Caenorhabditis elegans: one gene and its partners. The protein of the gene in region 1 interacts with the protein of each later gene in a pairwise test. Each region holds a gene or a part of one and is shown in the gene's direction. Other genes may lie near its edges. The genes, in order: pkc-3, num-1, rpn-2 and par-6.

What was found.
Region 2: the proteins of pkc-3 (region 1) and num-1 interact in binary tests that used the Caenorhabditis elegans proteins (3 or more experiments, as listed by UniProt).
Region 3: the proteins of pkc-3 (region 1) and rpn-2 interact in a two-hybrid assay, tested with the Caenorhabditis elegans proteins (one study listed by BioGRID).
Region 4: the proteins of pkc-3 (region 1) and par-6 interact in binary tests that used the Caenorhabditis elegans proteins (3 or more experiments, as listed by UniProt).

What each region holds. Positions count from the first base shown.
Region 1 is NC_003280.10:5,378,178-5,384,686, forward strand, and holds pkc-3 (Protein kinase C-like 3), read left to right. Parts: upstream 1-1,849; 5' UTR 1,850-1,850; coding exon 1,851-1,916; intron 1,917-2,323; coding exon 2,324-2,582; intron 2,583-2,859; coding exon 2,860-2,944; intron 2,945-2,993; coding exon 2,994-3,120; intron 3,121-3,282; coding exon 3,283-3,459; intron 3,460-4,130; coding exon 4,131-4,382; intron 4,383-4,466; coding exon 4,467-4,825; intron 4,826-4,871; coding exon 4,872-5,214; intron 5,215-5,329; coding exon 5,330-5,455; 3' UTR 5,456-5,992; downstream 5,993-6,509. Other genes in the region: Peroxiredoxin prdx-2, read left to right, coding at 246-263, 665-1,040, 1,105-1,316; ccpp-6 (Cytosolic carboxypeptidase 6), read right to left, coding at 6,027-6,199, 6,249-6,370.
Region 2 is NC_003283.11:20,828,308-20,835,838, forward strand, and holds the start of num-1 (PID domain-containing protein), read left to right. Parts: upstream 1-1,503; coding exon 1,504-1,672; intron 1,673-2,066; coding exon 2,067-2,164; intron 2,165-4,071; coding exon 4,072-4,226; intron 4,227-4,779; exon of another isoform or gene 4,780-4,785; coding exon 4,786-4,882; intron 4,883-5,090; coding exon 5,091-5,465; intron 5,466-5,717; coding exon 5,718-6,089; intron 6,090-6,576; coding exon 6,577-6,687; exon of another isoform or gene 6,688-7,307; coding exon of another isoform or gene 7,308-7,531. Other genes in the region: sbt-1 (Neuroendocrine protein 7B2), read right to left, coding at 1-139, 470-541. UniProt on the Caenorhabditis elegans protein: Involved in the tethering and targeting of pkc-3 to modulate the intracellular distribution of the kinase.
Region 3 is NC_003281.10:6,197,258-6,203,097, forward strand, and holds rpn-2 (26S proteasome non-ATPase regulatory subunit 1), read left to right. Parts: upstream 1-1,922; 5' UTR 1,923-1,928; coding exon 1,929-1,983; intron 1,984-2,033; coding exon 2,034-2,561; intron 2,562-2,607; coding exon 2,608-2,738; intron 2,739-2,788; coding exon 2,789-4,009; intron 4,010-4,061; coding exon 4,062-4,211; intron 4,212-4,258; coding exon 4,259-4,785; coding exon of another isoform or gene 4,786-4,789; exon of another isoform or gene 4,790-4,883; coding exon 4,884-5,169; 3' UTR 5,170-5,337; downstream 5,338-5,840. Other genes in the region: C23G10.7 (putative tRNA (uracil-O(2)-)-methyltransferase), read right to left, coding at 1-88, 173-268, 319-481, 525-741, 790-1,018, 1,064-1,150; sna-3 (NADAR domain-containing protein), read right to left, coding at 5,503-5,697, 5,771-5,840. UniProt on the Caenorhabditis elegans protein: Acts as a regulatory subunit of the 26 proteasome which is involved in the ATP-dependent degradation of ubiquitinated proteins.
Region 4 is NC_003279.8:12,667,690-12,674,976, forward strand, and holds par-6 (Partitioning defective protein 6), read left to right. Parts: upstream 1-1,690; 5' UTR 1,691-1,768; intron 1,769-1,936; coding exon 1,937-2,070; intron 2,071-2,602; coding exon 2,603-2,696; intron 2,697-3,626; coding exon 3,627-3,818; intron 3,819-4,565; exon of another isoform or gene 4,566-4,631; intron 4,632-4,667; coding exon 4,668-4,765; intron 4,766-4,834; coding exon 4,835-4,955; intron 4,956-5,005; coding exon 5,006-5,099; intron 5,100-6,159; coding exon 6,160-6,356; 3' UTR 6,357-6,758; downstream 6,759-7,287. Other genes in the region: T26E3.4 (RWD domain-containing protein), read left to right, coding at 172-275, 989-1,045. UniProt on the Caenorhabditis elegans protein: Necessary for apicobasal and anterior-posterior asymmetries associated with cell adhesion and gastrulation during the first few cell cycles of embryogenesis. Required for localizing/ maintaining par-3 at the cell periphery.

The sequences.
Region 1 (6,509 bases):
TAAAACTCTGCGCCAAGATGTATAGACAGGTAATAATATTTGAATTTTCTTTAAAAGTGACCTTGAACCCTAAGATTTTCGCTCCTCCTAAACGTTGTAGTCTGTTACTCCCTGCCGCGACAATTGTCAGCAAAAATCGCGTCACATGATGATGAAAGTTTGTGGCAATGTTATAAAAAGACTGACCTTATTTCGTTTCTTGGAAGATGCAAAGAAATGTTTATTAAAAATTGCAGTGTGAAATCATGTCTCTCGCTCCAAAGGTGCATTTCTTATTTGTTTTTTAAAAATATATTTGGTTACTTAGATATTAATTTAAATCACGGAAAAGTTTAAACCCCTCGATTTCTGTTATTTAACATGATCACTCACTTTTATAACAATTAATTTGGTTTTTCAAAGATGTTCCCAGAATGTTTTATTAGTTCTCATTTCGTCCTCCGATTTTTTTTCTTTCGTCGCTCTCCAATTTTGCCAATGTATTTCATTCCCATTAGATAAGCACCGCCCGTCACCTTATTCTCCTTCTTTTCACATTGCAAACAAATTCGTTGCCGTTGGGTTTCAATATCCTTTTCATTTTTTGTCGTATTGTTGTTCTTGTGATTGTGGTTGTTATTTTATCGCGGTATTATTTTTTTTTGTTAAACTAATTAATTTTTAGATGTCGAAAGCATTCATCGGAAAGCCAGCTCCACAATTCAAGACTCAAGCCGTCGTTGATGGCGAGTTCGTTGATGTTTCGCTCTCTGACTACAAGGGAAAATACGTTGTGCTCTTCTTCTACCCACTTGACTTCACTTTCGTGTGCCCAACCGAGATTATCGCCTTCTCTGACCGTGCTGAGGAGTTCAAGGCTATCAACACCGTTGTGCTCGCCGCTTCCACCGACTCTGTCTTCTCTCACTTGGCATGGATCAACCAGCCACGCAAGCACGGAGGACTCGGAGAGATGAACATTCCAGTTCTCGCTGACACCAACCACCAAATCTCCCGTGATTACGGAGTTCTCAAGGAGGACGAAGGAATTGCTTTCCGTGGTGAGTTATATTCTGAATGGAATCCTTCATATTTTCGTACTTTATTTGAAAAATAAAATTTCAGGACTCTTCATCATCGACCCATCACAAAACCTCCGTCAAATCACCATCAATGATCTTCCAGTCGGACGCTCTGTTGATGAGACTCTTCGTCTTGTTCAGGCCTTCCAGTTCGTCGAGAAGCACGGAGAGGTTTGCCCAGCTGGATGGACTCCAGGATCCGACACCATCAAGCCAGGAGTCAAAGAAAGCCAAGAGTACTTCAAGAAGCACTAAATGTCTTACATCTCTAATTTCCCCCGTATCCCTAGTATTTATCTGAACGGTTTATTTATACTCATTTTTCATTTTGATACTGAAATTCTGAAATTCATGAAATTGCTTGATAACCGTAAAATAAACTCGGTATTCGAATATAACTGTTTCTGTTCAGGAACAAACAATATGTGTCGAGACTCTCTCTCTGTTACTTTTTTGTCACTTTCCTAGACCGCCCGTGTTAGTCGGTGCGCGCGCATCGTCGTCCTGTACAGTGTTTGTGAGGGTCACCTGTGATTATTCATTTCTCTATGCCTCTTCAAAGCTGGGCCGCTCTCACTGACCTGTACACTTGGACAAAATGGGGGTGTTCGATAGAGCGTCAATGCATATATAGCTATAACAGTGTGTGTGTGTGTATGTGCATGTTTATTCATGAGTCATTTTTCCCTTTTTTACTCTAATACTGCCAACTCGTCACTGTTTCAGTTTCGCAGTTTTCGTTCAGAACTCCTTTTTTTGAACCGTTTTTAGTTCAATTTTTATTTCAGAATGTCGTCTCCGACATCATTAGAGGAGGACGGAGATATTAAGCTAAAAACGAGGTTTCAAGGACAGGTGAGATATGAAAAGTGGCTTTTGAAATGCTCAAAAATCGAGAAATACCCTAAAAATGAATTTTTCGTTGCAGTGAGAATGTGTAAATCATTTCGCCGTCAATGCGAAATTTTAGTTTGTCAAAGCTTTAAAAATTCGTAACAGAGAGAAAATTCCAGACAAAAAATAGAAAAAGACCGTGATAACCGAATAAAACTGTAAAAAATTAATTTTTCTGAACTTTTAATGATTTGATTAATAGTGTTTAAAACTTAAAAAGCTCTTTTCCGGCTAAAATTAAAAAAAAACAACCACTGATTTTTTAAAAATTCTGCAAAATTGAAAAATAATTTTTGTTACTGTATAACTTTTTTTTTTTAATCTGAAAAATTCCAGACTCCCAAATTTTAATAAAAATTAAATTCCAGGTAGTAGTACTCTATGCTCGACCACCGCTCATTCTCGATGACTTTTTTGCACTTTTGAAAGATGCTTGTAAACAACACAAAAAACAAGATATTACTGTAAAATGGATTGATGAAGATGGAGATCCAATCTCAATAGACTCACAAATGGAACTTGATGAAGCAGTTCGATGTTTGAATTCTAGTCAAGAAGCCGAGTTGAACATTCACGTTTTTGTTGGAAAACCAGAGCTGCCCGGGCTTCCGTGTCAAGGAGAAGACAGTAAGTATCATGAAGCTATCAGAAAAATTATTTAGAATTTCGAAAAAATGTGCGCCTTCAAAGAATACTGTAAAGCGGAATTTCTATCAATTTTTATAAAAAGATTGAAATGAAACAATTAGAAACACATAAATTTTGGAATTTTGGAAAATAGATCAAACTTCCGCAGTTTGAAACTACAGTAATCTTTAAAGGCACACAATTTCTCGCGTTTAACAAGAAATTTGTCGGAGGAAAAATCGGAAATTTTCGAGTCTGAGAAATGTTTTTTTTCCAGAAACTGTATATCGAAGAGGTGCTCGACGATGGAAGAAAATTTATCTGTACAATGGGCATCGATTCCAAGCGAAACGGCTGAATCGGTAGGTTTTTTTTTCTGATTTACAGCCTCCGGAGCTTCTTTCTTTTCAGCCGTATTCAATGCTTTATTTGTCATGACTACATATGGGGAATTGGACGGCAAGGCTTTCGATGTGTGGATTGTCGTTTATGCGTGCACAAAAAATGCCATCGGCATGTGCGAACGCATTGTGGTCAGGTAATTCTTTTTTTTTGTAGCGAGGATAGCTTCTAAATTATTCCAAAATTTTGAAACTAAGACCTCCCAGACTTCTGTTTTTCAATTTTTACAAATTTCTGTGCAAAACAGGTTTAAAGCTTAAATTTTTAAATTCCTCATAAAAATCTAAATCATTTTCAGGCTCTCCAAGGCCCGAATATTATCCCAATGGCTCCTGCAAGTGGTTCTCTAAAGGGTGCTCGATCGAATACAAGCTCATCTACAACGCGGTCGGGTGGAGGAATTGATAACGGAGCATTCCACGAGCACGAAATCGAATCACCCGGATCCACGAGTCATGATGCTAGCAGAGCTATGGTAAGCTTTTGAAGTTGGAGCCAAAATTTGAAATAAAATATATTTGAAATTTGATATAAATATCTTTGTCTTCACGTCTCCGAGGGATCGTAATAAATTTAATTTAATATTCAGAAAAGTTAATTTTTTTTGAAATTTATTAGTTTATTTCCAAAAAAACATAACTTTTATTTAAATAAAACCATCTGAAAAGTCTCAGATTTACAATAGCTGAAAATGAAATAACTCTTGTTAAAAAAAACAATTTAAATTGGAAAGTCTTTGAAATAGTGGTAGTTAATTGAAATATTTAATTAAGTTTAATCCAAAGTTCAATTAAATATTAGGTTCTTCCTGTTGCAATTTCAATTTCAAATTTCTAGATACGTGATATATGTAACTCTTGAAAAACATTCTAGATTTCTAGACTCAACTACATTTTTTTGTTTTTTTTTGGATGAACAAGTTTTTGTAGTTTCACTCTTTCTCTTGCTCTCAAAATTTTTATTCATTTCCAACCACAATTCCCTTCCTCGCTGCGAATTCTGATTTCTTCCTGATATCAAAATATTTTAATATTTCAACGTATGGCACTTTTCTGTCAGTGCTTCCCAGTATCAGATAAAAAGAAACGGCGAAAAGTATTTTTAAAGTTACATAGATTCAAATACTAAAATTTTTTAATATTTCAGAATGGAAATGGGTCGTCAAAATGGGCAGTTTCTCTGAACGATTTCCGTCTTTTAACAGTTATTGGACGTGGATCTTATGCAAAAGTTGTGCAAGCAGAACATGTTTCAACTCGTCAAATTTACGCGATAAAAATTATCAAAAAGGAGATGTTCAATGAAGATGAAGATATCGATTGGGTACAGACGGAGAAGTCAGTATTCGAAGCAGCGTCAAATTATCCATTCCTTGTTGGATTACATTCTTGCTTCCAGGTTGGTAACTTTCTTTTTCTTCGATTTTTTCAAATCTCAAATTTTCGCATTAAAAATTTTAAACCAAAATTTTGATAATTTCAGACCGAATCCCGCCTGTTCTTTGTCATCGAATTCGTTCCTGGAGGTGATCTGATGTTCCACATGCAACAGCAACGGAAGCTTCCAGAAGAGCACGCTCGATTCTATTCGGGTGAAATAATTCTTGCTCTTCATTTCCTTCATTCTCGCGGAATCATTTATCGTGATCTCAAATTGGACAATGTTCTGATTGACGCTGAAGGACACATAAAACTGACAGATTATGGAATGTGTAAAGAGAATATTAAGGATGGAGATTTAACTTCAACTTTCTGTGGAACACCCAATTATATTGCACCAGAAATATTGAGAGGTGATGAATATGGATTCAGTGTTGATTGGTGGGCATTGGGAGTGTTAATGTAAGCCTTTTTTGGTTGAACATTTATTTTATTTAAATCGTTTTAGGTTTGAAATGATGGCTGGTCGATCTCCATTCGATATTGTTGGAATGCAGAATTCCGAGGAAAATACAGAAGATTATCTTTTCCAAATCATTCTTGAACGACAGATTCGAATCCCTAGATCACTTTCTGTACGGGCTTCTGGTATTCTAAAGGGATTCCTGAACAAGGATCCAACAGAACGTCTGGGATGTAAGCTTGACATTAATGAAGGTCTTCGTGATATGAAAGAACATCAATTCTTCCGTGGATTCATTGATTGGGAAGCTTTGGAACAGAAGGCTGTCGCACCTCCATATCATCCAGCTGTGGAAAGTGATCGCGATTTGACACACTTTGATCATCAGGTAATTTTAATTTCTTCAGAACTTAACTTTAAAAAAAAATTAGTTTTTGTTTACTAATAAATTATTGAATCAAAATATTTTAAAACTAATTCAAAATGCTTGTTTTTTTTTTCAGTTCACCGACGAACTTCCACAATTATCACCTGACAATCCAGATGTTATTGCACGAATTGATCAATCAGAATTTGATGGATTTGAATACGTGAATCCTCTACAAATGAGTCGGGAAGATTCAGTCTGATTCCCCCACCATCCCCCGAGTCCCAAATATTTATTTTCTTCGGTATACTTTTTTGTGATTTTTATTATTATTCTCGAATCCCATCTCCTTCGCCCACTGTCTTATACGATACTATGACACACTAACTCGTGGCATAATCAGTATCCTAACTTATTTTCTTTTTCTCAACATCTGTTATACATTTTCTCGCAACAATCACTTCTACTCGTCTTGTGGTATCTTACAATCCCGAAAAGGTTGTGATTTTTTTTGGTTTCTGTTAAAATCTAGACTATTCATACTTGCTAGGAATACCTAATGCTTGATGACCTCCCCTTCTAAATACACCTTCTTGTTACTTTTCTTGTCAGCTCATTCATTTCCCTGAAATATATGTAAAATTGCGGCGAAGACTACGATCAATGTAGTCTCTTCGCCATCTGACACTTCTTTTGTGCCACGTGTGGAACTCGATTTAACTTCAATTCAATTTACATGTTCTTCCATTTGACCACTTCCCTTACTTATTTATTGACAAACAAAAAAAAATTGCATTTCAATGGTCTTTATCAGTTCTAATGTGGGCGCCAATTCATTTCATCATCACAGTCTGAATCACCTTCCTCGCTTGCTTTTTCAAAGTTTTCTGGGCGCGGGCGGGTAGAAAAGTCTTAAAGGGACGTTCGAGCACAATCTCTCGTAGTCCACAGTCGGCTTCATAGAAGTTGAGAAGTGCTCTGCAAAATGCCTCGCCGAGAGCTTCATCTGAAAATTGAACCAAGTTACAGTAGGAAATCACTGAAAAAAAACCTACATTTATATTGAAGATATGGCGTACAATGTTGTATTCCATTTCCAGAAGAGTCTGTATGGCGATAAGAGAAGAATGATACTTCAAGTGTATAGCAAAGGCAGGAAAGTAGATCTCCCATCGTTCTGAAAAGTTATGAAGGGTCCTGACACGACTGGCATTTTTCTGCTACAGTAACCCAGCGTGTTTTTCTCAACTCCGTGTTTCCCAATGTATTCATTTTGAAAATATGCATATATTTTCTAGAAACATCATTATAAAACC
Region 2 (7,531 bases), on another chromosome or scaffold:
CCTCAAGAAGTTTCTGTTCTCCCTCGCCAGCTCCACCAGAGATATGCTTGACTCCAAAAGAGGAGAGATCCGGAAGATTTTCAGAGTCACGTGAGATGAGATCAATGAAATCTCCGGATGGAAGAACAAAGTCTCCAGCCTGAAATTTTGAATTTTGAATAAGCTGACTAAATGTATACCTTTTCTTCAATTTTCCTTGAGTATCCTTAATCCGAAAAAAAATGGACTAGGAACACTAGATAATAATCTTAGTGTGAGTCATCACTAAAAATTTTGATTATGGCGGAAATAAATTTGCAATCCTTGAAACTCAACTTTCACAGTTTGAGGCTTTGGAGTTCATATATGAAAATTAATACAGATACCTTAATCGTTAAAAAAGTAATATTTGAAAATTTCAAAATCTATTTCACTTGCTCAGGAATTAGAAAAACACTAAGCCTACAAAACAAAATATGAGTTTACTTACGTTTTCCAAATCTAATCCATAGATAGCTGCAACTCCGACAGTAAAGAAAACCAAAGAAACGGCACCGATCATTCGGGCAACCGTGTTTGGTGCTGAAATGTGAATGCGTCGCTTTGGCTCTCCTGGCAGACGAAAAGAGAGCCGACTGCCAGAGTAGCAGACAGACGGTTATAGACCGAAAGGATTTTGAGGCTCGCAGAACAGCAGAGTAAAGACGCTGAAGAGAGAGGAGCTCATGTGCTCTTCTCCTCGCTCATGGCTGACGGCTTCGAGGAAAATCGATGAGCTGAAGGCGTTGTGTGAGTGTTTTGTGAGTTTTCATGTGAGTGTGTTCTCGCACGTCATTTTTTTGGACAAGATGGAGGAAGATGAAGAAGAAAAAACTGAAAGGAGGTCTAAAGCTCTTCTATTCGTTTCTATGATTAATACTTGGAAGTATAAAAAACAGGATATATTATGGGGTTTCAAAGATTTTGAGGACAACGATTATTGTACAAACAATTAATTTATTTTAAAATGAAACATTGTTTTTCATCGGATAAACATTGTAAAATGTCACAGCCTGTTTTTAACCATGTTCCATGTTCCATGTTGTTGTTGTGAAATAACTTGTAGTAATTCGCAAGTAAATTCACCCATGTTGGTTACGCAAATGTTGACTTTTTGAACATGTAATAAGTTCATCTGTTCAAACTATTAACTTTTTGAACTTTCCTTTGTAATCTCAGTTATCTTATCATTAAGTTTACAAGGTCTTCCGTTAATTCTTTACAAAGAAAAAAAATTAACCACCTTGATTGTAAGATTGAAAATTAAAAAAAAACGCAAGTGAAAATATCAATTTTCATCAAATTTAAGAAAATAATTAAAGTAAAGTTTTTTGTAACATCACAATTGTATTGACTACTCACATTGATCTTTGTGGAAGTGTTATGGATACGTACTACCGTGGGAACAAGCTGGGTTCTACTAATCTCAAAACTTATTTTATGTTTACATTTTGACTCGAGAGTCCTTCTTGACTATACTTTATTATGAATTGGATAGTTCATCAGCAAGGTTCATCGAACACTATGTTTTACAAGTGTCGTCCGCCAATAGAGTTTAGATTTCACAAACAAACTATTCTTGGTTTAAAGTATGATGGTCTGGATCGCAGTTCAAGAAGTGCCACCTCTACAATATGGGTTTACGATAAATGCGGTGAGTTTTGGAAAAATAGTATTTTCCTGGTATCTTTAATAGTTTACACGCTAAGCAATGTGCTAATTTCAAACCTGCTATCTCAAATACTCGTGAGCAAAGTTAAAGTTCCATCCGTACATGTTGCTAATTCAAAATGATCATTGACGTCTGCAACGACTTATTTCCCTACAAAATTTCCGTATTTCTCCCTCTATCACACGTAAGAAAAAGGGGTTGTCTATAGTATGACCTCCTTTATCAACGGCGATAACAGTCGGAAATCGGGTGAAAAGGAGGCGGAACATTCAGTTTCTGCACAAATCAGCTATTTTTGTCGCGATACTCTGAATATTTTTTGGCACTGATTGTAAAAAATTAATTTCGCACATTCGTTAACAAGTTTTTTTTTCAGAATTCGACAATATGATTGTTCCGTTTATGAGGCATAGACCAAGAAATTGGGATCAAGAGTCTAGATATACTGCACCGAGATTGATGTTGTGTGATACAGTAAGTGGTCATACTAAAGTTCGGATTCGAGATATAGGGTTTTAAGAAATATAACAAAAGTTTCTGAAAATATAGAATTTTATCAATGGTGAGAAGCATGATGTTGCACACGATTAGTTGAACAGTGACTTGACATTTTGATGCCTGCGTGACAGGTATGCCAGGTATGAGATGTTAGGTTTTAATTTTTAATCATACACAAAATGTTGAAAAATTCATTTTTCACTGCACGAAATAAAATTTGCTTTCCAACCATTTCGTTTTAGTAGACTAATTTTCATATTATAATGTATGCTTTAAACAAAAAGTATACTGTAAACAAAAATTTGTTAGAATTGTTTTTTTAATTCAAAACATTTTTTTGACAAATTTTTCGAAAACTTTTTCATGTCGGAATTCGGCGGAACAACTTTTCTAAGAATAGGATTTTAACAGAATACGTTGAAAAACAAACGCTAAAAACTCCTAGAACATTTATGAAAAATTATAGGAATCTCTTTTTTTATATTTCAGTAAAAAATTTTAAAAAATCAGGTAAAAACTTTTTTAGAGGAGGACTAACGATTTTGAAAGTAGACCCAAAATGAGCTCAAATGAGCAAATGTTTTACAGTGCATTTTTTTCCAACTTCTACGACTTTAAAGGCGCGCGCATTTTCGCGCAATGTTCTCGCCACGCGCATTCCATTGAATTGTTGAGCGCGTGGCGAGACCAATGACGGGGCCATTTTGTATAAATGCGCGCGCCTTTAAAGTCGTAGAAGTTGGAAAAAAAAACACTGTAATGAAACTTCTCAAAAGTGTTTCAAAAATGATTCAAAATTTCGAAAAAAATACACTGCTTTTAAATAGCTAAAATCTCGAATTGAGAATTATCATCCTTTATTGAATATTTTTGTAGTTTACTCATTTCATTTCGTCGATTAAAGAATATTTAAAGCCGATAGGCAACCTATTTCGATGATTTTTGATTACCTATTGGCTTCATATGCACCTTAATCGACGAAATTAAGTGAGATAAACGAAAATATTTAATAAAGGACGATAATTCAAAAGTCATCATCGGGCCGCTGCGACTCAGAAAAATGGCCAAAGTTCGAGAATTTAACTAAAAACAGTGTTATTTTTTTGAAATTTCGAACCGCCGTAAAAAATTTTTGAAACATTTTTCAGAAGCTTTATTATGAAATAATGAATTGTTCATTTGAGCTCATTTTGGGTCTATACGTTCAAAATCGTCCGAATCGTTAGTCCTCCTTTAAAAGCATCGTAGTTTTTTAAATTCCCTATTGTAGCCCAAGTACAGTATTTCTTAAAGACGCGCATCCTTCTGGCATTTAACTAAAATTTATCGTTTCGAGACCGGGTACCGTGTTTTCGAAGCGCAAATTAAGACAATTTAGCATCTGAAAAATGATTCTTCACGAAAAATAGAAGTGTTCTAAAAGTCCTCGATTTTTATGCAATTCTGTCAAATATCATCGAGAATCACGCCGGCAAAAAGAGGTCATTTGTCTCCGTTTCTATGTGTATTGGAGACTGTGTACAGGACAGTGAGAAGGCACGGAACTTTCCCTCTACATCTCTGCACTCTCTTGTCTTTTGTACAGTCTCTCGTCGTTTGTCGTGTTTCTTTTGTGCAATAAGGCTCGGTGCAATGTGATGGAATTGATAAGAGCGACGGGTGGTTTCAGTTTTTGTCCTATTTTGACTGAAATTTCTGTTTTACAGTCATTGGCTATGAATCATGCATTTTTTGCCAACATAAATTTGAATTGCATCGTAGCGGGTCCCAAACGCGAAATTCTCATACTATCATTTAAAAGTGCTCTTCATTTTCCATTTATTTTGCCATTTTTTGACCGATTTCTCCCGATATTTTTGACTAATTTTTGATTTTTGTTTCAGATGAGCGCTTCACAGGGAAACGTATTCACGAGAGGACTGTCGAGAATATCGAGAAGGAAGAAAAAGACAAAGAGTATTCAGAATTCTTTAGTCTCTGAACAGCAACCAAGTTTTGACGCCGCAATTGTTCCAATGCCAATTCCGAACGATAAAAGGTACTAATTTTTAAAGGAAAAATGTTACAAACAGTTGCCAAGTCTTTTTTATTTATTTAAAATCTTCAAATTATCTGTTGAGCTCTCCGAAAACTGCAAGTGCGCTCTATTAAACTAGCCAGGCCACACAAATTGAGCTGCTTTCAGGGAAACGAAACGGAAAATATCAGCTAAAAAACTGAATTTTCTCATAGTTTTTCTTATTGAAATATTATAATAAAATATTTATTAATATATATAACAAAAGAAGCAAAACATTATTTACAAAAATTCAATGTGACACCCCAATAAAAATAAAAAAATTCCACAGATTCCGTTACCCCGTTCTCTCATCTCTCCCCACTCGTGAGGCTCAATTCTTTCACCAATTTCCTCGCTAATTTGCCCAATTTTTCATCAATTTTGTTATTGATTTTCGATGGTAATCTGCTTTTTCTAGCAAAATTTTCGAAAACAATGCGAAAAATTGATTTTAATGCATTCTAGAACTTAAAATTTGCCGATTTGGTTATTCTTCATGTCGATTTCTATATTTTTAAGTACATTATGTGAATTTTAGCTCAATATTCTCAAAAGGGATGGACCGGCTACGGAGATCGCTCAGACTGCCAAAAAAGCGAAGAGATAGGAGTCATGACAGGCATTTGAGTCCAGATGTACGTGAAAACCTGTGAAAAATCGATTTTTCCGAAGTTTACTTGGAAATCAGTTTTTATCTTTTATCGGATTTCATCACCATTTTTCCAACCAAGTAACAGTCTGAAATTCATATAATTTCGACCAAATTTCCGCAAAAAAATCGAGAATTTTTTAAATGTTCTCCAAAAACCTCAAGTTTTCCCCAAAAAATGCTCAATTTTCCAGGTAACGGGCGGTTCGAAGACTGAACAGTGGCAGCCAGACGAAGGTGCCGTACGAACGGGTACGTGCTGTTTCAATGTAAAATATCTAGGATCAGTGGAAGTGTACGAGTCTCGTGGAATGCAAGTTTGTGAAGGCGCACTGAAATCGCTGAAAGCTTCACGGAGAAAGCCTGTAAAGGCAGTTCTGTACGTGTCAGGAGACGGATTACGTGTTGTCGATCAGGGAAACAGTCGAGGACTGTTGGTAGATCAGACTATTGAGAAAGTTTCATTTTGTGCACCCGACAGACAAACTGACAAAGGATTCGCGTACATCTGCAGAGATGGAGCATCCAGGCGGTGGATGTGCCATGGATTTTTAGCCACCAAGGAAACGGTAATTTTATTCAGAAAAAACTATTTATATGTTTTATTGGCAGAAAATTCGGGAATTTAGGTAAAAAATTGACAAATCCCACTACTCTTATTGCTAAGAAATCTTTTAAAAAATAGCAAGAAAAATGCAGAAAATTATGCAAAATTTCCAGGTTTTCCGACAAATTTGGGAAAATGGAGGCAATGAAAGCAGTGAATTTATCAATTTTCGACCTAAATTGCCGAATTTTCTATAAAAATGCAATATTTTCAGGGCGAACGTCTCTCGCATGCTGTCGGTTGTGCATTTTCAATATGTTTGGAAAAAAAGAAAAGACGAGACGAAGAAACAGCTCAAGTAAATGTGCAATCAGCGCAAGAATCAACTTCATCCACTCCACCAAAGGATATATTCCACCCAAATTGGGAGGATAATACATCAGAAGGAACTTCAACTCAAAACCCTTCGAATTCCCGTTCAAACCTGGCTTATCAGTCGTTCCGGAAGCACGTTTCAATTGAAGATCGATATTTGGATCCACAATCAGTAATTATTAACGAGGTACCGGCATCAAATCATATGGATGAGATTAGAAGGATATCGAAGCCGAGACCAACTGGAAATCCGGCTCTGTTTTTGAGACAGGTTCGTTTTTTGTGGTGTCAGGTTGTCCCATGTGAGATTCGAGCTGCGAAGACTAGATTTTCAGCCAAAAATAGCTATTTTTAGATCAAAATCCAGCGAGTTTTCTTTTTTTTATTGGATTCTAAGCTAAAAATTGACAATTTCACCTAAAAACAGCTATTTTTGACTGAAAATCTAGTCTTCCCAGCTTGAGTTTCTCATCGTACAACCTGACACCTTGCTTCATTAAAATGGTTTTCAACCTAAAATTATGTGTTTTTTTACGCAAAATCATGACGAAATCCCCAAAACTTGGCTGAAATACGAGTTTTCAATTGAAATTCAAATCTTTTCATCTCGAAATTGACGAAAATCATTTAAAAAAAAAAGAAAATTCGCTGGTTTTTGATCAAAAAATTGAAAATTTCACCTAAAAATTGCTATTTTTGGCTGATCTCCAAATTTCACATGTGACAACTTGACACCACTTGAAAATTCAAAGTTTCAGGGATCCCTTCGAGCACCACCCGATATGCCATCGTCTTCTGATCAATTCAAGCGAAATATGTCGTTAAGGACCGTGTCGAATAATCCAACGGAGAGATCTCCTGAGAAAAAGGTTTGATTTTGCATGTTATTTGCGCGTTCTTATTTTTTTATTTTAATTCCAAACTTTCCGCAATGTTTTATGGGAAAAAATCAAGATTTCCTAGGAAAAAATCACAAATATGGGAAAATTGTTTAAAAACTCGGTAAATGGGTCTTGCCAAGTTTTACGATTTTTGAGTAAAAAATAAGTTTTCTTCCAAAAATGCTCAAATTTTTTGATAAATTTATGTTTTTTGAGGAAAAATCGCGAAATCGACGGAAATTCAGTTGGAAACATCTATTTTCTGCGATTTTCCGCACTAAACAAATACATTTTATTGAGAAAAACGTTGGAAAAACTGTTTTTTAATGTTTTCAAAAAATAAATCTGAAAATTTGCGATTTTTCGCTGATTTTTTTTGATAAAGTTTGTTAAGTTCTAAACTGAAAAAAACAAAAACTGTATTTTTTTTTCAAAGATTTCCATATTTCTGACACTCAAAACGGCGATCCTTTTCAACGTCATTTGGAAATTTGCATAATCCATCAAGTGATATGACTAGTAAACCCCCATCTTTTACCATTTCCCTATAACAAAAAAGTTCCTTATCAACATTTCTCCTATTTTCACACTCGAACAGACCTCATCAAATGGTTCTCATAGACACTGAATACGTGCGCGCGGTGGTCCATAACGTTGGTCATCGTGCGCGGTGTGGTGTCGCGTCAAAAGTTCGAGCACTGAAGTTAGCCCATTCTCAAGCTAGATTGAGGTCATATTCACAAGCGTGTGAACGAGCAAGCTATATTGATGGTAGATGTGAATACTATCCTAGTTTGGATGTTGCTTCGAGTTCTCGAAATTCTGAAATGTT
Region 3 (5,840 bases), on another chromosome or scaffold:
GATCGACAGGCATTTCGCGTAGGTCCACATCTTTCAGAGTGGTCTTCCAAATGTTTCGATGACGAACGTCAATTCCGTATCCAGACATCTAAACATTTATTTTTTTAAATCTAAAGTTAAATCAAATGAATTTTATAATTAAATCAATTTTCGATTAAAAAAAAAATCTTACTCCGATTTTGTTCAAAAGATGAACAAGAAGACCATTTCCGCATCCAATATCCACGAATTTATTCGGCTTTGGTAGGAGATCAGAATTGACAAGCTCCTAAAAATATTTTGAAAGATGGGAATTTTATTGAAATAGATAAATTTTACATTTATATATGAAGCAATCCCACAATCCTCGAAAATTGATTTTTGTGGATTAGAGTTTTCTGTCCATCCTTTGATCATTCCTCTGCCATAATCCTCTCGAATATGACGATATGTCTTGATGTAGGACTCTTTGTCGAGTAGAGAATTTGTCTTTCGAGATGATCTGCAATAAACGTTTAGACTTTGTTAAATCATAGCGTTCTCACTTTGAAAGATCAATTCCTTTCAACCAAGTGTACAATTGTTTGAATGCTTGTTTCTTCATAAATTCAAAATGTTCTTGAGAGGAATTAGCTTGCTTCAAAAACTGAAGTTGAATGGATGTATCTGTTGGGATTTTAATGGCAATTGAATACGGGCTCTCGAAATGTGGGTGTTGCATTCCATCGAGAGTAATTGGGTAGAATCGTACAAGGAGTTCTTCTGAAAACAAAAACATCATTTCAAAAGAAGACTAACTTCGAAACAAACCTTCATAGTAAGAAACTTCAAACGCATTATCTGAGAATTTATTATTAGCGAGATCCTTGTGTATGATTTTCGTAATAGCTATTTCGCTGCAATCTCTCGGGCAAAATTTGTAATGTGTTTCAAATGTTCTTAAAACTTCATTCCATAAATCTGAATCTGTATCCACTGAAACTGAAGTTGTAATTCTGTTACTGATAGCGTTTGGATATTCCTTCCAAAGACTGATAATCTGAATTTTTCTTTCAATTACAATATTCCAAATTACAATAACTACCTTATCAAAAAACGCTTTTGGATCAATAACCTCTTCGTATTCGGCGATTTGTTCTACAATAACTGTCCATGTTGAACCAGGAAACATAAAACGCCTAAAAACGTAAAATTTTAATTGAATATATTGGTAAACTAGTTTTTCAAAGGAAAAAGAAAATTATTCAATAAACTTTTATTGATTAGTTCGGCCGAAAATATCCAACACGCAGAAAGGTAAGCTTTTCGAAGATATAGAAAGTTCTAGAAAATTCGGAAATGTTCCTCTGAAAACTACAAAAACTAAGTCAGACTGAAACCAATGTCATAACTATGTGCAATGAGCCTTTAATACAGTAACCACCGCATAGCTTTGAGACGATCAGTGAAAAATTAAGCATTAGAGCGGTCAAACTAGACACCAATACACTTTTATCTGATTTTAAAAATTAAAATATGCTATTTTTATCGGAATTGCTGGGAAAAATATTGTCTAAAAATAAGAAAACAACTTTGAAGAAAATGCGCCAACACCCATGTGCTGGCGCAATTATCGATTAGTTGACGCACATCGCGGAGGATGACAATTCTGACCACAGCGGGAAACCGCGAAATTGTCAGCTTTTATCTGAAAATGTATGTGTTTTTGGACGAAATTTGTCATTCGCAATCATTCTTTTCGTTCGGTTCATCCATTGTTGGTGTTTGAGTAATTTTATGATTTTCTAAAACGCCTGATTTATTTTTAGACGTTTTCTAATTTGTCTTTTAAGACGAGAAAGCTGTTTTTCTGATAACCTAGAAAAACATTTTATAATAAACTATGCTTCGCAACTATCTTCTCCTAGCTGCTCTCATTTCGGATTGTTTTTAATTTTGATTTCTTTCAGATGTTGACATTGTTGAACAGATGGAGATCTCAGCCAGGAGGCGCTTCAAACGCAGGTATCAAAACTAATATCTATCAAGAAACGTTGTGAATTGTTCATTTTCAGCCGCATTCATTCGTGTTCTCGAGTCACCGAAATCAGCAGTGACCGACAAAGTGCTCGTTCTCAAAGCATTTAACGATTGGGATGTTCTTGTGAACACATGGTTTGAGGTCGCTGACGCCCTTCCAGCTGTAGAGCAGCTCCTTGACAACAACACGTTCCCAGAGCATTCATCCGCTGCACTGCTCGTCTCCAAAGTTTATTTCTGCTTGGAGCAGTATGAACGTGCTTTGGAGTTTGCTCTTCGTGGTGATTTCAACGTCGTTCCTGCTACAAGAACCGGTCTTGGAAACGACGCAGAATATGTTAACAAGATCATCGAGACGGCCATTGACACGTACAAGACGCTGAGCAAGCAAGGATCTGGAATTCCTCAGAAACTCCGAGATTTGATCGACCGAATTGTTGCTAGAAATCTGGATAAACGAGAGATATGGTTTGTCATCTCGTTAGGATTTGAGACGACCAATCTGGCTATGATCGACAGGGCCATTAGCGCGATGCCTGCAGATTTGACCATCAAGAATCAGAGTAAGTCAATAATAACTAAGCTGAAACGTCATTCTTTTTTGTGCAGCTACACTTGTCGAAACGCTCAACCGTGTTGTCAATGGCGCGTTCGATCGTTCATTCCGATTCCAAGTTATCGATACAGTCATCAAGACGTACTTGAAGTGCCCATCGCCGGACATGTCCAAGATTTGCGAGGTATGATTTATACAAATATCGAAGTAAAATTACAAAATAAACATTTTCAGTGTTACGTGCTCACGGATAACGCCGAGGCCGCTGCTGACACGATTACGAGTTTGATCGCGAAGTCTCTCAGCACTCGTGCATATCAGATCGCATTTGATTTATATGAAACAGCGAGTCAAGGATTCCTCGATCGAGTTTTGAAACGTTTCCAACAGCAGGATGCTCGTGATGAGAAGTCGATGGAAAAGATTCATTCAATTCTCAAAGGTCATGAAACTGTCAAGGCTTACCTCGACTTCTTTGTCCGTCATAATCACACTGATTCTGTTCTAATGGAAGAGATCAAGGAGAACATTCGAACAGCCTCTGCCCACAATGCTCTTCTCATCTCAAATGGTCTTATGCAATATGGAACTACTTGTGACGATTTCCTCCGTAACAACTTGAACTGGGTTTCCAAAGCTACGAACTGGAACAAGTTCAATGCGGTCGCTTCACTTGGACTCATTCATCACGGACAAGAATCGTCTGCAATGAAGGTACTTGAGCCATATTTGCCAAAGGAATCTGTCGAAGGATTTGGATTTAAAGAGGGAGGAGCAATGCTGGCATATGGATTGATTCACGCCAAACACGGAGATGCAACTGCCATGAGCACTCTGGCTCAGTGGCTCAAAACCGCCGAAAACGAGCCAGTGAGACACGGAGCTTGTCTTGGATTTGGAGTTGCTGGACTTGGATCGTCTTCTGTTTCGAATTACGAGAAAGTTCGGGAAGTTCTCCAACGTGATGAAGCAGTTTCCGGAGAATCCGCAGGAATCGCCATGGGCCTTATCATGGCTGGACATCTGAATCAAGAGGTGTTCAATGAGCTCAAGCAATACACTGTTGACACACAGCATGACAAAACTCAACGTGGTATCCGAACTGGACTTGCCTGTGCCGCATTCGGACTCCAAGGAGATGCTGAGCCTTACATCAAAGAAGCAATCGGAGCTAAGAGCAATCCAATGCTCCGTTCCACTGGAATCTGTATGCTGTCGATGGCTTACGCCGGAACCGGATCTCCAGATGTAGTACGCCGTCTTCTCGAGAAAGTAGCCACCGATCCAAATTTGGATGTCAAGAGATACGCTACAATTGGTATCGGATTCGTTCTCTCCAAGGATCCATCAACCTGCTTATCCTACGTGGCCATGCTCACCGAACATTTCAATGGACATGTCAGATACGGAGCAGCTATGGCACTGGGAATTGCTTGTGCTGGAACAGGAAACATGGTAAGATACTTTTTTCTGAAACCGGGGTTTGATATAATGAATTGTTTTTCAGGAAGCTATTGCTCTGATTGAGCCAATGATTTCTGATAAGGAAGGTTTCGTTCGTAAAGGAGCACTTCTTTCACTTGCTCTCATCATGTGCCAGCAGACAGACTACACTTGTCCCAAGGTGAACGGTTTCCGTAAGCAATTGCTCAAAAAGGTAACTCTATAAGAAAACAATCAAGTTTTTCAATAAATGTTTGTCAGATCGGAGAGAAGAACGAGGACTCTCTTGTCAAATTTGGAGCAATTATTGCTCAAGGACTTCTCGACATCGGAGGGCAGAACGCTGCGGTCACAATGCAAAATTCTGACAAGCAGCCAGATATGGGATCAATGGTCGGAATGATGTGCTTCCTTCACGGATGGTTCTGGCACTCGATGCATTTCTTCATCGCCCTTGCTGCTAAGCCATCATGCCTTGTGATGATGAACGAGAATCTGAAGATTCCAGTACTTGACTACATCTGCCATGCCAATAGTCAGAAGTTTGCCTATCCACCACGAGCCGAATCAAAGAAGGATAAGGATGTCAAAAAGATTGAGACTGTTGTTCTGTCCATCACCGGAAAGAAGAATGCGTCAAAGAAGCTGATCGCTGAGGAGAAAAAAAGACGAGAAGCTGCAGCTTCCGCTTCTAGTGCTGCTGCTGCCCCATCATCATCGTCCACTTCAGGAACAGCACCAGCTGCTGAAGATGAGAAAATGGAGGTTGATCAACCAGGAAAATCCAAGTAAGTTTGGAATGAGTGTCTAGGAAAAGTAGAATTCGTTTTTTTTGTCATAAAAATTAAAAAACCAAGATTTCCAAATTAACTTACAATTATTTCAGGAAAGAAAAGGCTCCAGAAAAGGACACGAAGCCATTGCACCGCCTACAGAATCCAGCTCGTGTGATTCCTGCTCAACGACAGCTAATCTCGATCAGTGACGCTCGAGCCTACAGTCCCATGAAGCCACTTTACAAGGGTGGAATTATTGTGGCGGATCGTGTTGATAAGGAGAGAGAGGAGAAGCTTGTCAGTGAAGTCGTCACTCAGGTCAATACTCCTGCGAGCTCTGGAAATACCGAAAACAAACCCCATTCGACGTTCGAGATCAATATCAACGATTTTTGATCAATTGCTGGATCATTCGATCAACTCTATCTCGCTCCCCCAATCCCATTCAAAACTTTTTTAATTTATTTTCCCCCTTCTACTCTATTTATGTTTGACTTCGAATCAACATGAACCCGCTGATTTTTGTATTTGTGTGTATACCTGAAAATGAAGAACATTTCACTTACATGAATTGAAGTCAAGCGATAATGACAAAAAATTTATTTTTGTTAAACAAGAGATCCTTTCTGGCCTCAAAATCTTGCTGTGTTATTCAAATGAAACAGCAACAAAAATGAATGAATAAATTCTGAAAATTTTAATAACGAAAACGTGAAGTAAAAAATTAATTTAATTATCCTCCTCGTCAGTTGATAGAATCTCGCCGTCTGATAACTCCTCTTCGGGATCTCGCTTTGGCTTCGGAGGAACAACGACCGCTGGTGTTGACGTGGATATGGCTGGCTTTTTAGCAGGCGATGGAGCTGCTTTCCGCGATGGAGGAGACTGGTTTACACGTTTTTTGGTGGGAGTGTCGAGGTGTTTCTGTAAATTTTGATTTTGAAAACATGTAATCGGGAAATTTTAAGCTAAAACAATATAAATAATAAAAACCAACATCTCTTCCTCTATCAGAAGACGACTTCTCTGGCAAACGATCCCTATCTTTTCCAAATTTCCTTCTAGAT
Region 4 (7,287 bases), on another chromosome or scaffold:
ATCATAAAAATCCCGATTCTTGCGATTTTCTACGCCAAAATTATCGAAATTTTGAACTTTTTCAGGCGAAAAATTCATTTAAATCCCATTTTCTGGCTCCAAATCTCACAAAAAATGTGATTTTCCGTCTGAAAATCGCTGAAAATTTCAAAAAAAACCAATATTTTCCAGGACGTCAACTATTCCTTCGTGACGCTACACTCAATCTCTCTGACGTCACACTTATTGGAGCACAAGATGAAGTCGAAATTGATGAGAGCCTCTTTGATAATGAGGTTTCTGGAAAAAACCACTGAAAAATCGATTTTTTACTGAAAATTTACGATTTTCTATTAAAAAATTGCATGAAAAACATGCAAATTCATTGGAAATTGTCGATTTTCGAGTTTTTTTCGGTGAAAATCCGAAAATTTTTTTTTCTTTTTTGAAACGTTCCCTTTTAAAACCTGGAAAAATGTAAAAATTCGCTAAAATCCCCATTTTTTCACTGAAAAATTAGACATTTTTTACTCAAAATTTATTTTTCCATGGAAAACTCTGTTTTTGAGCTAAAAAAAATGCAAAAAATCTGGATTTTTCCGAAGAAAAAGCTTCAAAATTTACAAAATTTGGCATTTTTGGCTGAAAATTCACGATTTTCCACTTTAAAAGTGAATTTTTTGTGATAAACTTCATATTTTCTATCAAAAAATTGAAATTTTCTCACTAAAATTCCGATTTTCTATGGAAAAAACGCCAAAATTCCCACATTTTTCAGTGAAAAGCTACTTGAAAACGCGAAAAATTGCAATTTTATTCCAAAAATTGTTCGAAATTTCGAGTTTTTCTCATAAAATTGATTAATTTCAAGATGAAAATTCGATTTTACTGCCTAAAATGATCAAATTTTCCGATTTTCAACATAAAAAACCTCCAAAAATCCCATTTTTTAGCCTAAAAAACCCCAAAAAATCTCAAATTTCCACTCAAAAAAACCCATTTTTTCCAGGAACTCGAAGGTCTTGAAATGGATTCCGAAGAAGAAGAAGAAGACGATGAAGAATAGGATTTCCCCTCAATTTATTGCATTTTTCTGTGATTTTTCGCCATTTTTTCGGCGAAAAATCCCGTAATTTATCCATTTTTTTGCCCCCCAGTTTTTGTTGATTTTCACGGTTTTTCGTTTCAATTTTTTCCATTTTTTTGCGTAAAGATTTGTTTTAGTTTTAACCTTTTTTTTTGAATTTTTCGCTGTTTTTATCAGCTTTTTTATCGATTTTTTATTGAAAATTTTTGGCGATGAGTCATCAGTTTTTATCAAACTTTTTTGGAGAGTTTTGTGACTCATTTTTACTCAATTTTCAGCGGAAATTTGGTGTTTTGAAGGTTTTTTTTGTAAAAATCGCAAAAAATGCGATTTTTAGCTTGAAATTTCATTTTCCGCTAGAAAAATGTTCAAAATTGCCATTTTTTGGAATTTTTATTCAATTTTTCTACTCAAATTTCCTAAAAATGTCTATTTTCCAACTCAAATTCAGTTTTTTTTTCCGTTGAAAACTGTTCAAAACTCTAACTTTTAAATTAAAATTCAATTTTTTCCATTGAATAATTATTTAAAATCCGATTTTTGATTAATAAATTCAAAAATTATTCACTTAATAATTTTTTCACTTAAAAAAGGTTCAAAAATGTGAAAAAATCCAATTTTCAGCCGAAAAAATCGATATTTCCCACGAAAATTGTGCATTATTTCCGGCTCAACGCGGAGCTGCACCTGTAACTTGTAATTGTGAGTTTTAATTTGCGAAAATCATAATTTTTCAGCTTAAAAGTATGGAAAACGTCGAAAAATGCGATTTTTCTACTCAAAAAAAGCCGGAATTTCCAATTTTCCAGCTGAAAACTGTTAAAAATCGCGTTTTTCAGCTCAAAAAACCCGAAAAATCCAAATTTTCAGATGTCCTACAACGGCTCCTACCATCAAAATCATCATTCAACACTTCAAGTCAAATCGAAATTTGATTCTGAATGGCGTCGTTTCTCAATACCAATGCATTCTGCGTCTGGTGTCTCTTACGATGGGTTCCGGAGGTGATTTTTGGCCATTTTTAGCCGAAAAATCGAAAAATTCAGCGTTTTTTTTTTACCTAAAATACGTCAAAACCCATGTTTTTGACGTAGAAAAACGTTAAAAATTGATTTCTCTACCCAAAAGTTACTGAAATTGTCATTTTTAGGCATAAAATCCCTTAAAATTCAGAAAATCGGATTTTCAACGATTTTCAGCTGAAAAATCCAAGGATTCGGCGTTTTTTGTCCTAAAATACGCGGAAAATGATTTTTTTTACTTGAAAAAATCAGATTTTTTCCGATTTTTACCTTGAAAACCCTAAAAAATCTATTTTCCAAACCAAACTTGGCCAAAATCGGCATTTTTAGGGCTAAAATCATGCGTAAATCGAATTTTCGCCATTTTCAGCCGGAAAATCGAAAAATTCGTCTTTTTTTTTGTGTTTTTTTTTACCAAAAACGAGCGGAAAATGATATTTTACCTGAAAACTCGATTTTTGAAGCAATTTTCCCGTAAAAGTTCAATTTTTCAAGTAAAAATCGATATTTTCAGCCTTGTCGAGAAGCTTCATCACCTGGAAAGTGTCCAATTCACACTGTGCTACAACTCGACTGGCGGTGATCTTCTACCAATCACAAATGACGATGTTAGTAGCGGAAAACTGAAGAAAATTGATTTTTTCAGTGAAAAAAAAAACGAAAAAATCGAGTAAAAATGACATAAAATTGATATTTTTCACTAAAAAATGCTAAAAATTCAATTAAAATGTCTCGAAAATTGATTTTTTCAGCTTAAAGTTAGTCAAAATCGATTTTTAAAACAGCTCAAAAATCGTTAAAAAATAAAAATAATAATAATAAAAAAATCGATTTAATATTCGGGTGTCTCCTACGAGGACAAAAAATCGATCGATTTGAAAACTCACAGAAAAGTCGAAAAAAATCACAAAAAATCAATTAAAAATTGATTTAAAAACTCAAAAAATCGATAAAAATCTCAAAAAAAAATCGATAAAAATCGATAAAAAGTCTATAAAAATCTGAATGTTAGTAGGGAAAACTGAAGAAAATTGATTTTTTCGGTGAAAAAATCGAGAAAAATCGAGTAAAAATGACCTAAAATTGATATTTTTCACTAAAAAATGCTGAAAATTACTAAAACATCACTTATCGATAAAAATCACAAAATTTCGCTAAAAAATCACTAAACATCTTAAAAAATCGATAAAAAGTCCTAAACTACAAAAAATTGATTTAAAAAAATCGAAAAAAGTCTCAAAAAATTGAAACAAAAATCACAAAAATTCGGTGAAAAATCCCCAAAAAATCAATAAAAATCACAAAAAGAATCGATAAAAAATTACAAAAAAACTCAAAAATCGCTTTAAAAAATCAATACAAAACCCCAAGAAATCGGAAAAAATCGATAAAAAATCGATAAAAATCTGTTGAAAAATCACAAAAATTCGGTAAAAAATCCCCAAAAAATCAATAAAAATCACAAAAAGAATCGATAAATTCCTAGAAAAATCCCAAAAATCGATAAAATCCCAAAACTACCATTATTTTTTTTGCAGAACCTCCGAAAATCGTTCGAATCGGCTCGCCCACTGCTCCGTTTGCTCATTCAACGCCGCGGTGAATCATGGGAAGAGAAATATGGTTATGGTACAGACTCTGATAAACGATGGAAGGGAATTTCATCACTTATGGCACAAAAACCACCGAAACGCAGTTATTCAATCTCGAATCCCGAAGATTTTCGACAGGTAATGGGTCTCACAGCGAAAAAAGTGGAATTTTTGAATTCAGCTCGCTGAGAGCTTCGAAATAAGTATAATCATGACCGGGTTACGATGGATTTGAAAAAAGTTGGGTCTCGCCACGAAAAATCGAAACCACAGTAATCCCGTTTCGTGATGGGACCCAAAAATTTCAAATTTCGCAGAACCTAGTCATGATTATACTTATTTGAAAGCTATTGATGAGTTGAATTCAAATTCCGGAAAAAATTTTGAAAATTTCAATTTTTGGTCCCACCACGAAGGAAATTTTCGCTGCGGGACCCAAAATTTTGGAAATCTTCAAATTTTCCGGAGCCCAGTCATGATTATACTTATTTGAAAGCTCTCGGTGAGCTGAATTCGGTTGAACTCATGAAATTGCAAAAATCTGGTCCCGCCACGAAAGTGCCAACCTACAGTAACCCCAATTTCGCGGTGGGACCCGCATATTTCAAAGTTAACGGAACCCATGATTATACTAGTTTTAAAGCTGACAGTGCTCCCAATTCAAAAATATTGATAAAAATCTCAAAAATTGGATCCCACCACCACGAAAATGCCAACATACAGTAATCCCATTTTCGTGGCGAGACCAACAATTTTCAAAGTTCGCGGAACCTAGTCATTCCATTATACTTGTTTGAAAGCTCCCAGTGAGCTGAATTCAGATTTCGCAGTAATTTTCTAAAATTTCGTCACTTTTCGTGGCGGGACCCAAATTTTAGGAGAATTTTCAAAATTGGCAAAACCTAGTCATGATTATACTTATTTTGAAGCCCTTAACGAGCTGAATTCAAATTTCCCATTAATTTTTAAAAATTTTCAATTTTGCAGGTCTCTGCAATCATCGACGTGGACATTGTGCCAGAAGCTCATCGCCGTGTCCGTCTCTGCAAGCACGGACAAGAACGACCACTTGGATTCTATATTCGGTATCGATTTTTCTGGAAATTTCAGATTTCTTGCCAGAAAATCCCAAAAATCTGCAATTCTTTTTTCAGTGACGGAACATCGGTTCGAGTGACAGAACGAGGCGTCGTCAAAGTTTCAGGAATTTTCATTTCCCGGCTTGTCGATGGTGGGCTCGCCGAGTCCACAGGCCTTCTTGGTGTTAATGACGAGGTTTTTAATGGAATTTTCAGAGTTTTTAATCTAAAAATTCCGGTTTTCAGGTGCTCGAGGTGAATGGAATTGAGGTTCTCGGAAAGACGCTGGATCAGGTCACTGATATGATGGTCGCCAATGCTCATAACTTGATTATTACTGGTATATAATCCGGAAATTTGAATTCAGCACGCCGAGAGCTTTGAAATAAGTATAATCATGACTAGGTTAAGATTATTTTGAAAAAAATTGGGTCTCACCGCGAAAATTGCGAGAACCCACTTTTTAAAAAATTTCATTAGAAAATTTGAATTCAGCACACCGAGAGCTTTCAAATGCGTATAATCATGGCTATATTCTGTCAAACTTGGAAAATTCGGGTCTCGCCAAGAAAATGATAAACTACAGTAACCCATTTTCGCGATGGGACCCAAAATTTTCGCATGTGACGCAATCTTGTCGTGTTTATACTTATTTGAAAGCCCTTGATGAGCTGAAAACGAATTTACTAAAAAATTTGAGAAGTTTCAATTTTTGGGCCCGACCACGAAACTGATTTTCGCGATGAGACCCAAAATTTTGGAAAAAATTAGATTTTCGCCAAACCTAGTCATTATTATACTAGTTTTGAAGCTCTTGGTAAGATGAAATCGAAAAATCTAATTGAAATAGCGAAAATTGGGTATCACCACGAAAATCGCTGCCTACAGTAACCCAGTTTTCGTGGTGGGGTCCGAAAATTTAAAATTTCGCATAACCTAGTCTTGATTATGTTTATTTTAAAGCTCTAGGCGAGCGGAAGTTGAATTATTTAACAAAAATCTAAAATTTCAATTTTGGGGCACGACCACGAAATTGGCTTTCGCGGTGGGACCCAACATTTTGGAAAATTTTAAATGTCCGCCAACCTAGTCATAATTATACTTATTTGAAAGCTCGGTAAGCTGAAATCGAAAAATCTAAATGAAATCGCGAAAACTGGGTCCCCCACTAAAATCCCAACCTACAGTAACCCAGTTTTCGTGGCGGGACCCAAAATTTCGGAAAATGTTCAAAATAAACATAGCCTAGTCATGATTATACTTGTTTGGAAGCTCTCAGCGAGCTGATTTTAAATTCTGTAGTAATTATAAAAAACAAAATTTTCAGAAATTTTTTTTCGAAAAAAAAATTTCAAATTTATTTTTTTTTTGAAAATTCAAAAAATCCCAATATTTTCCAGTAAAACCTGCCAACCAACGAAACACACTGTCACGAGGACCGTCACAACAAGGAACACCGAACGCCAGTGAGATGTCGGCCGCCACCGCAGCCGCTACAGGTGGAATTCAGCGCCCGATGAAAATGAACGGAAGCTCCGACGGCAGTTATCATCCGAAACAGCACGACGCAAATGATTCGGACAGTGGAGAGGACTGAAAAACTCTTTTCAGCCATTTTTCCTCGATTTTTTCAGAAAAAAAAACCACAAAATGTGACCATTTTTATACATAATTATATTATTTATATTCTCGCTAAAACCACACACACACACAACCAAAACCGCTTAATTTATTTATTTTCCCCTTTTTCTCCTAATTTTTAATCAAATTTGTCGGCTTTCTCTTCACTTTTTTGCGCACAATTTTCACTTTTATTTCCCCCGTTTCTCGCCCCAAAATGTGCCTTCCTTTCGCCCTTTTTATGTGATTTTTCCCCTTCAGAGCTCTCTGAGCCCATACTTTTTTTTTCGAACTTTGGCTCAAATTTTTTGACAACAGACACGACATACAATTTTTCCCCTGAAATTCACATTATTAGTGAGAATAAATTATTTATTTCAAGCTTTGAGAGATCAGCATTGTGAAAAAAATGTTGCCATTACGGGGACTCGAACCATGGCCTTTTGACTGGAAGCTTTTTCGTCGAAAATCCCACTGCTCCATTTGGACATTTTTGACAATTTCCCAGAAATGACATAATTTCGGGTAAATTTGAATTTTATTGAGTTCTTGACGATTTAAGGCTTTAAAAACTGAGAAAATCTACATTTTCAGCCGATATTCCGCTGATTATTCTCAAATTCTTATTTTTCAAGGTTTTTCTCTGCTGTTTAGGAATTGATATTATAATTTTTGGGTTGAGAATTGAAAGTTTAGCCTAACAACACTATGGAAAAAAGTTTGCCACAGTGGAGACTCGAACCACGGTCCTTTGACTGGAAGCTTTTTCGTCGAAAATCCCACTGCGCCATTTGTACAGCATTTTTGAAAAGTGCCCAGTAATGAAAAGTCTGTAATAAAATGTTACCTTTGAGTGATTTTTTGATGATTTAATGTTATAAAATCTGTGCAAATCTGAAGTTTCAGTT